Linked DNA regions of Schizosaccharomyces pombe. The gene in region 2 interacts genetically with the main gene of each other region. Each region holds a gene or a part of one and is shown on either strand. Other genes may lie near its edges.

The links.
Region 1: mutations in cmp7 (region 2) and les1 impair growth when combined (synthetic growth defect), as found in Schizosaccharomyces pombe (one study listed by BioGRID).

The regions. Positions count from the first base shown.
Region 1 is NC_003424.3:1,036,077-1,040,186, forward strand, and holds les1 (nuclear bridge Ish domain protein Les1), read right to left. Parts: upstream 2,134-4,110; 5' UTR 2,107-2,133; coding exon 2,040-2,106; intron 1,986-2,039; coding exon 757-1,985; 3' UTR 563-756; downstream 1-562. Other genes in the region: SPOM_SPAC23C4.04C (uncharacterized protein), read left to right, coding at 1-267, 321-432; efm6 (methyltransferase), read right to left, coding at 2,590-3,573. UniProt on the Schizosaccharomyces pombe protein: Inner nuclear envelope protein involved in nuclear fission, which is achieved via local disassembly of nuclear pores within the narrow bridge that links segregating daughter nuclei.
Region 2 is NC_003423.3:3,896,149-3,900,308, reverse strand, and holds cmp7 (ESCRT III complex subunit), read right to left. Parts: upstream 2,224-4,160; 5' UTR 2,214-2,223; coding exon 1,935-2,213; exon of another isoform or gene 1,892-1,934; coding exon 1,490-1,891; exon of another isoform or gene 1,429-1,489; coding exon 760-1,428; 3' UTR 619-759; downstream 1-618. Other genes in the region: protein Tti2, read right to left, coding at 1-143, 188-262; trs8501 (TRAPP complex subunit Trs85), read right to left, coding at 2,923-4,160.

The DNA.
Region 1 (4,110 bases), on a different chromosome or scaffold from region 2:
CTATTATATAATTTCCAATATGGCTTTCTATTTCCCAGTTTATGATTCGGACTCTCCGACTACAGTGCACCATGATGAGCGGAAGGAGTCGTGGCGGTCCCATGGGTTTATTGTTTGCTTGCACATTAGGTGTTGCATCTGCTGTAAGTATAATTCAAAAATTAAAAAACCAAGCTTGAATATAGCGCTGAGAATTCAATCCCTCAAAATAATAAAAATACTAATCTTTCAGTTTTATTCTACAAAACCACTTTGGGATAAAAATAGGTAAATTGAATCAAACATTTATAAAAATGGCTAACTATAGTGGGGAATGATAGCCCAGAATATAAGCAATTGCGTTCGGAAATTGAAGCTACAAAACGTGATGAAGAGGTAAAGAACGGCGAACTTATCGACCCCAATGTAACAACAGAAGACGAAAAACTTTGATCAGGGTTTATATTAAAACATTTTTTGTCTCATCATATTCGATTTTGTTTCATGAGAAATCTTCAACCTCATTAATATTCTGCAAAAAAAACTTACATACTAAGTAACTTTGTAGAGATTATTATAACTGTTCCGTAAAACTACCCATTTTATTATTTTTAATAAACTAGTACTAAATGAGAAAAAAGCAAATCTGAGTTAAGTATCTGTTATAATAAATGGCAACAAAAAAAAATAAACTAGAAATATACAGTTAATGAACAAGGCATGGCTCCAACTTCGAGTGGTCAATTTTCAATGGTACATTACCGACACAAATGGTATTTACTGCGAAAGTACAAAAGCCCTTTTAAGCGAGTTACCCAGGAATGTTTGCCAATAATGTATTCTGTTCAAAAAGGCAGGACCTCGTAAATAGTAATACAGGTGGGGAAGTAATCGTTCAAAAGCTTTGGTAGATGAAAATGGAACGGGGACAAGTTCGCCAAATGACTCCAATTCCTCTTTGAGTTCTTCTTCGGTCCAGGTAGACTGTTTGGAGACAGAAGGATGTGAGTATAAAGAATCGTTTAGCGATGCCATGTCAGAAGAGCTCCATTCAGAAGCAACATCCATATAAAATAATTTAGCAGCATGAATAAGTTCATGACGCGAGTTGTAAGCAACATGGGAAAATATGGAACCACGTTTATTGTACTTCCAAATCCAATCTAATAAGTCCTCAGACGACCATCCATCTAGTACGTTGGAGGCAATCATTACACGCGGTGTGAAGCGGTTAGCGTATGCTTCTTTCAAAAGAGTTTCCCGAGGTGAAAGAACAGAAATAGGAATGTTTCGCTCTCGCAAAAAATCAATAAGTCTACCGTCTGACCATAAGTGAATAATTTCTTTCATATATGGTGCAGGCTGGCTATCTGTAATATTTGTCACTTTGTCTTGCGATTTTCTTTCCTCAATATCGTAATAACGTCTAGCCAAGACGATTAGGTCGTCATGTGATGCACCAATTGGTACTGTAATGTTTTTCTGATCCAACATAGAAAGGAGTAGATTATTTGACCAGGATTCCAACTCATCATTGGTGGAAATGGCATCGCCCATTGATGCTTGGAAAACTGTTTCCAACAACTGCTCTCGGGTTCCAGGCTCTGGAACTTCGTACTTATTCTTAATAAGCCATCGAGAAAGCTCGGAGTTGGTCCATGAATTGAAAATCCAAACGTCCAATTTTTGTGCGTTATGAGAAGCATGATTCTTCTCCTTCTCATAGAAAGATTTACATTTGTCGGTTACCTTTGATACATACTGTAATGGCTTCCTCCAAAACTGTGAAGGAGTCTCGATAGGAGGAACGTCCAGTGACTTTACCCCATGATTTTGGAGAAAGTCATCAAGCTTTCGTTGAGGCCAAGAATCGGCTGGTCCTCCTATTTTCCCCTTTTCTCTACCGGCGTAAACGGTTCGCTGAACATACTTCGTAGTTGTACTAGGCGCATCATGTATATCAGCTGCAGTCGCTTCAATAGACGATATGTGGCCTGTAATCTTGCCTAGACAATGCCGGGTCAGCCGCTGTTTCTGTAGAAAAGCAACTCAACACTTACCAATTGACAGACAAAGCTGTATTCCTAATGCCAAAAGCGCTCCGTGTAGAAGAAACCTTGGCTGCATTGTATTTTTCTATGTGTTTGGGTGAATGGATGGTGCGTGATGCTTGATGGGTATTACACTTGGTATGCGCTGCTATATGACGTAAGCCGAGCCAGTTTCAAGGCATACAGAGAACAGGGTAAATAAAGCAGAATAAATAAAGGAAACTGCTTTATATAATGTTGAGTTGTTTTTTTATCAAAGAATATGCTAAATCATTAAATTCGCGCCAGTCGTCATAACACCATTCAAAAAAGCTGGAAGCCGAAATTCAATTTTACAGAAAATGTACTTTGCAGAGTTTACATGGGTTCCCAAGTTCGCTGATAGTTTAGATGCAAAATTGGTTTTATGCGATGCTACAAATTTTATAGACCGTTGTGTATAAGAACCCGAAAAGACATCTCAATATAAACATGCTGCTACAAAAAAGTTACGAGATTCGCAAGTTGACAGATTCAGCAACGCATCCTAAGAGAAAAATGAAAATGATGCAAAGTAAATTTATTTTTTCTGTAAAATGTAAATAGTGATTGGACCACGTTCTTCGTAAACAAGATCCAACCATCCCAATATATTGCTCATAAAAGTTTTTTCATTGTCATGTCTTTTTTTGTACGCAATATATAACTTTGTGTTCTTATCCATCAATTCCTGAAGACTTGCCTCCAAATCAGAAAAGCTAGATTCATTGTACATGACATCTGACATAACAATATAATCCCAATGACGCCGAAATTTTCGAGGAATGTCATGTCCCCATACTAAAATATCAGAAGTTATGTTGTTGCTCATTGCAGACTTATTCTTTTCAACATTTTTTTCCATAAATTCAATCGCATCTTCTGTATCGGTCATTGACACAAGAGCACGTGGATATTTGCTAGCAATACTTATACCAACAATTCCACATCCGGAGCCTAGTTCTAAAACATTGATGTCTTTTCTATTGGAAAAGCTATAATGCCAATCATCAGAAAGAATCTTTTTTGAGAAAACTACGCCGGCATCCCACAAGTGCTTAGCAATACTGTTACCCATCTGTTCGAGAAACCAGAGACCATCGTTTGGTGACTTTTTTTCTGGGCCTTGGATATACCGCCATACCATATTAGGTAAAGTAGATTTCGGTGAAAAAGCTTCACTCCAAACTGGTAATACAGTATCGGCATTTATGTGTATAGAATCAACGATTGAATTCTGATTTTCTAAATGCAGCGTCAATTGAATTTGCTGGTGACTAGCAGGAAAATACAAAGTCGTTTCAGCCGCGTGACCATTCCCTATCCATGAAACACATTGCTTAGAAATTGTGATACGACTGTGAGATTGTTGTCTATCCAATGCTTCAACCCTTACGGTTGCATCTTGCGGATATGAAACTTCGCCCAGATCAGAAGTTATCGTAAAAACCACTCGTAAAGCGTATTTAAAGGATTCTTCGAGCTTTTCTTGGAGTCTTAAAATTCTAATATAATAGAAAGTCATTCAAGCGTCCAAATACTTTAAAAATCCTTGGAAAAATAAAGAAAAGGGGGTCTTACAGAAATTTTTTTAATGATCTATTAACGTTCAGTTTCCCTTTAAACCACATTCACCAATCAATGAAATAAACCACTAGCAATGAAATACAAGTTGGTTGAAAAATTTTTTTTTTCGCAATTTGAAAAACTAAAATTCTCTGAAATATCAGATTATCGCCGCAATATGAGAGAGGGTAAACTGATCGTAAAAGCAAAACAATTGAACTAAGTTGTTAATTCATGCAACCCGGTAGCAATCATCATGAAAATAATCTCTGAATTGTTGTAAGAAAAACGCATGGTAGCAAACTTAAGTCGCAAGCAGAGCAACGAGTCATAACTGATAATACGAATATTCACATAAGGAAATGAACTTTATAAACACTCAATTACAAATTTGAGGGCATAAGCAATTGCACTAACACTTTTTTACATGTTGGTTTATTATGTGTTTTGCTGACTTTCCTTTTGTTTGTTACTTTTTTGTTGTTACCAGCGCACC
Region 2 (4,160 bases):
AATAATTTAATATAAAAAATTGTCGCCGTACCCAGTAAAAACCAACTTTCAGTAGGGCTAATGAACTCTAATAATGGCCTCAAATCTTGTTCATGAACCAACGAGTCCACCTCTACCACCAATTTGTCCAAAAAGTCTATTTGCTATATTTGGTTAAAATTTGAAAATAGTGAATTAAAAACGGTACTTTTTCAAGAGCTTCTTTTTCATTTTTTGATTGTAGAGTATGCAATCGCCTAGCTAGCTCTTTGTAATATTGCATAGATATTGCCAATTTAAACTTCTATTAGATAATTATTAAGTCTAATGTTTTATTATTTGTTTGATTTGTAAACAAAGAATATTAACAGAATTGTAATGTCACTTAGTTATTAGAGAACTTAAATTCTATGAAAAAAGTATTTCATGTTAAGCTATGGTCATACACTAATAATATAAACTTATAGAGTATGTGATATACTGTAAGTTTCTAAGTCGTTGCCAAGAAATCAATTTAATAAATTAACAATTTACTAGTTTTTAAAGGTATAAAAAGCAAAATTTTTAGTAACTAACATCAATTCATTACACAGGTACTTTACCTTATCGCTTTAGCTATATAAGTTCTATTGAGTATATAAGCATTATTGTTTTTTATAGTTATTACCAAGAAAAATGTTTTTATAGTATTCATTTATTCTTTAGTATGTGCATAAATTATTAGTAAACCAAACCATTTCCCGTGAATTTAAGTGATCGTTAAAAAAGGACGTATATAAATTATTGCTCAACCAGCTCAGCTTGAATCTTCTCCGGTTTCGAAGTCTTTTTATCCGAGTCAGTATTAGTAAGGGTAAAAGTATCAGATGGTGTTTTTAGAGAAACATTGCCTAATGTAGACACGATATCTTCAACCTTCTGTTCTTCAGCTACCAAATCCTGCCATTCTTTTTCAACGGCTTCATCCTCTAAATCAATGTTTTGAGGATTGTAAGTTTGAATAGTTGCATCAATCTCTTCCGAACGAGCCAGTGTATCATTTACGTTTTCTAAGACATCTTCCACTTTTTCAGTTCCACCCATTTGAGCTAAAATTGCGTCTAGAGCTTCAGAGCCAGAAGACATTGCAATAAGCAAAATTTTGTTGTCAACCGCATTATCAATATTAGAAATTATAGTATCTAATTGCAGACGCGAAGAAACTTTCCTTTCCAAATCTTTAGACAAAATCTTTTTTCGACGTAAATAAGTTATTGCTATTGTTTTCTCTCCCTTTTTAACTGCTTGGTTTAGCACTTGTGAAAGTTGCTCCAATTCCTCGTTTAAAAATTCTGATCTTTGGGCGATGGATGCCCTAGCCTGTATCAGATCTGCAACAGACCCATCAATAGACTTATCAATTGAAGCTAATTGAGCATCAATTTGGCTGTTGGGTAAAAACTTGATTATCTATTCTCGTTAAAAAAACGGTATCGACAAATAGCTGAGAAAACATATAATCTGAACTTACCTTAGAATCAAATATTAAAACATGTTTTTGATAGCACATCCAATTAAGAAGGCATTCCATCTCATCCTTGTTTAATTTTCCTTCTTCCCAGTATAAGCTTCCAAAAGTATCTTGAAAAAAGTCCCAAGTATAAATTGCACTCGTATAGCTGCTGCACCGTCGCATTGCTTCATTGTGTACAAGGCAAGCAAGTTTCTCAATATTTTTTCGAATTACATACTGCCCACTCGGGGATCTATTTGACAATATGGATGAGGCTTGATTTTGAAACCCAAGTTTCTGAAAACTCCACCGTAGAATTGAAAAAATAGAAAAACCGTCTTCTCTTACTAAATTTCCTTTTTTACAATCGTTCAAAAAGTCTTGCTTACGAAGCCAAACCCCTTGCTGGATCCAGTAAGCCTATATGCTTATTAGCTTCAAAAAAAATGCTTAATTCACGTACCGCAACAGCACCAAGGCTCAAAGGTCTACCTAAAGCAGGACTTGAAAACGCACTTTCAAAAGTCTCATCGAAAACTAAGATTATCCTAGAATTCAACTTCCCAGACCATGCGGATGTTTCAATTGCTTCTCTCCAAGTATTTACGTTTGCCAAAAATCCTTCAGGATTTTTTATAAACAGACTCGTAAAGTCAGAATACAGGCTTTTTAAACGAGTTTTTGTAAAAATTCCTTTATTAACAGAAAATTCCAAAGCATTGACTTTCTCCTTTTTTCCCATTCTGTCGTATATTCCTGAAGCTACCTGCGTGGTTTACTATATACAGTTTTCAAACAGAATTAATGGTATGAGGTGACTTGTCACTTGTACTTTTGTAATGTTACAAATTGCTAAATTTGGAGTTCTAATAAGGTGCTGATGATTTGTTTTCAAAAATTCAGACAATGAACAATTTATTCTAAAACTGATAAGATAGACAAGTTATAATAACATCAGCAATTTCGTATGAAGTTGACTAATGTAAAATCGCATATATCTAATATATGTTATATTGAGTATGATACTAAATTATAATTTTGATATAATAAATTATAATGCTAATGCTACATTTTAAATTGGAAATCCTAAGCTCCTTTATGCCAGCTCCTATTCCTTTTTCAAATCTTTCAAAATTATAGCTTACACCTCTACTCTTTGAATTTCACAGTTATTTTTTATATATACTTTTTATTTTAAAATAATTATTGACATCAGTCTAAATTCTAAAGCAACATTTCAAAAAACGTGAACAAAAAAAAAATGAAGTTTTAATTTCTAAAGTCATTAACTAGCTAATTGAATATAAATATGATACTGTAAGCGGTAATATAATTTTTCAACTTCGCATTAATCGCGCTTGAATTAATAAGCTCATAACCAAAATCGAAAGTTTAGCACCTACATAAGCAGATCTTGTACCAAAGATTGCCCAGATGACAGGATGAGTTGTCTAATGAAAAGTATTTTTCACCCGAAAGTTTTCGGAAAGCGTTGGTTTTAAGTCCAGCATATGTTCAGAAAGCGATTCCCATCCTGATTTTGAATACACACGATTAGCAAGATTCCAGCAAATCTCTGCCATTTTACAATGGCCACAGTCCCGCCAAAAGCCAGCGCTATATGCAAACCAAAAAGCAGCTTTTCTGCGGCGATTTCCATCAGTAACACCAACATGTTCCTTATTACTATACATTCCAGCTATTGTCGTATTTAAGAAAGAAGTTTCAAACGGATTGAGGGAAATAGGGCCTGGTTCCAATATCTTTGCAAGCCAGGATGCTGCAAAGTCGATACTAAACGCAGGCTTCAACGAGAGCAACAAGCTTGTAACTAGCACACTTCTAAATGTATAGTAAAAAGAGTGAAGACGAACAGCATAGATATAAACCATTTCGTCGAACCATTTGTTCAAATACGAAATTTGCGACTTCAAGCTGATATTCCGATTTTGCATTAACAGACATATTATTTGGATTTCCTCGCAAGACGCTAAATAATTCCAGGCTTTGTCTTGAGAAAATGTATTCCGAATCTCATCATAAATTTCATAAGCACGTTTGTAATCACGAAGCATAAAAGAAAAATCCGCCATTTTTCTTTTTATGCTTTCCTGCTTTTCTGAAGAATAAATAAGGGATAGTGGATCATAGTTACCTTGAGAATGGCTTGAATGATTACGAGACCAGTATTTTTTGGAGGCAAATAGAAGCCTGGTAGTTAAATTACCGTATTGAGGGGTCAGATCTTCTTCCCAGGCCCGTACGCATCTTTGCATAAAAGGATATATACTATCATACAACATTGTTTGAACAAACTTTTTCATCCCTTCCACTTCTTCTACAGGCAGTAAAGGATAAAGAGGCAAACACGATTGTTCGGATTCGGCCTGAACTTCTAATGATGATCTCCATTCTGGAATTGGAAATTTTCTTAAATTTTTAGTCACAAATGTTATCGGTTTGGCATCATCACTAGATGAACAAAAGCTTTCGCTTTCCATCGAATCTCTAGGTGCATTTTTTAATGACTGTATAGAAGACGTATCATATCTGTCAGTATCTAAAGGTTTCGCTGATATGTAATTCGACCTTAATCTAATAAAATGAGAGTTTGCGCCAAGACTTCTCCGCATTTGCTGAAAAATTTGCTTCGAATTTGAAAGATCGTTGTTATCTTCATCATGTATAA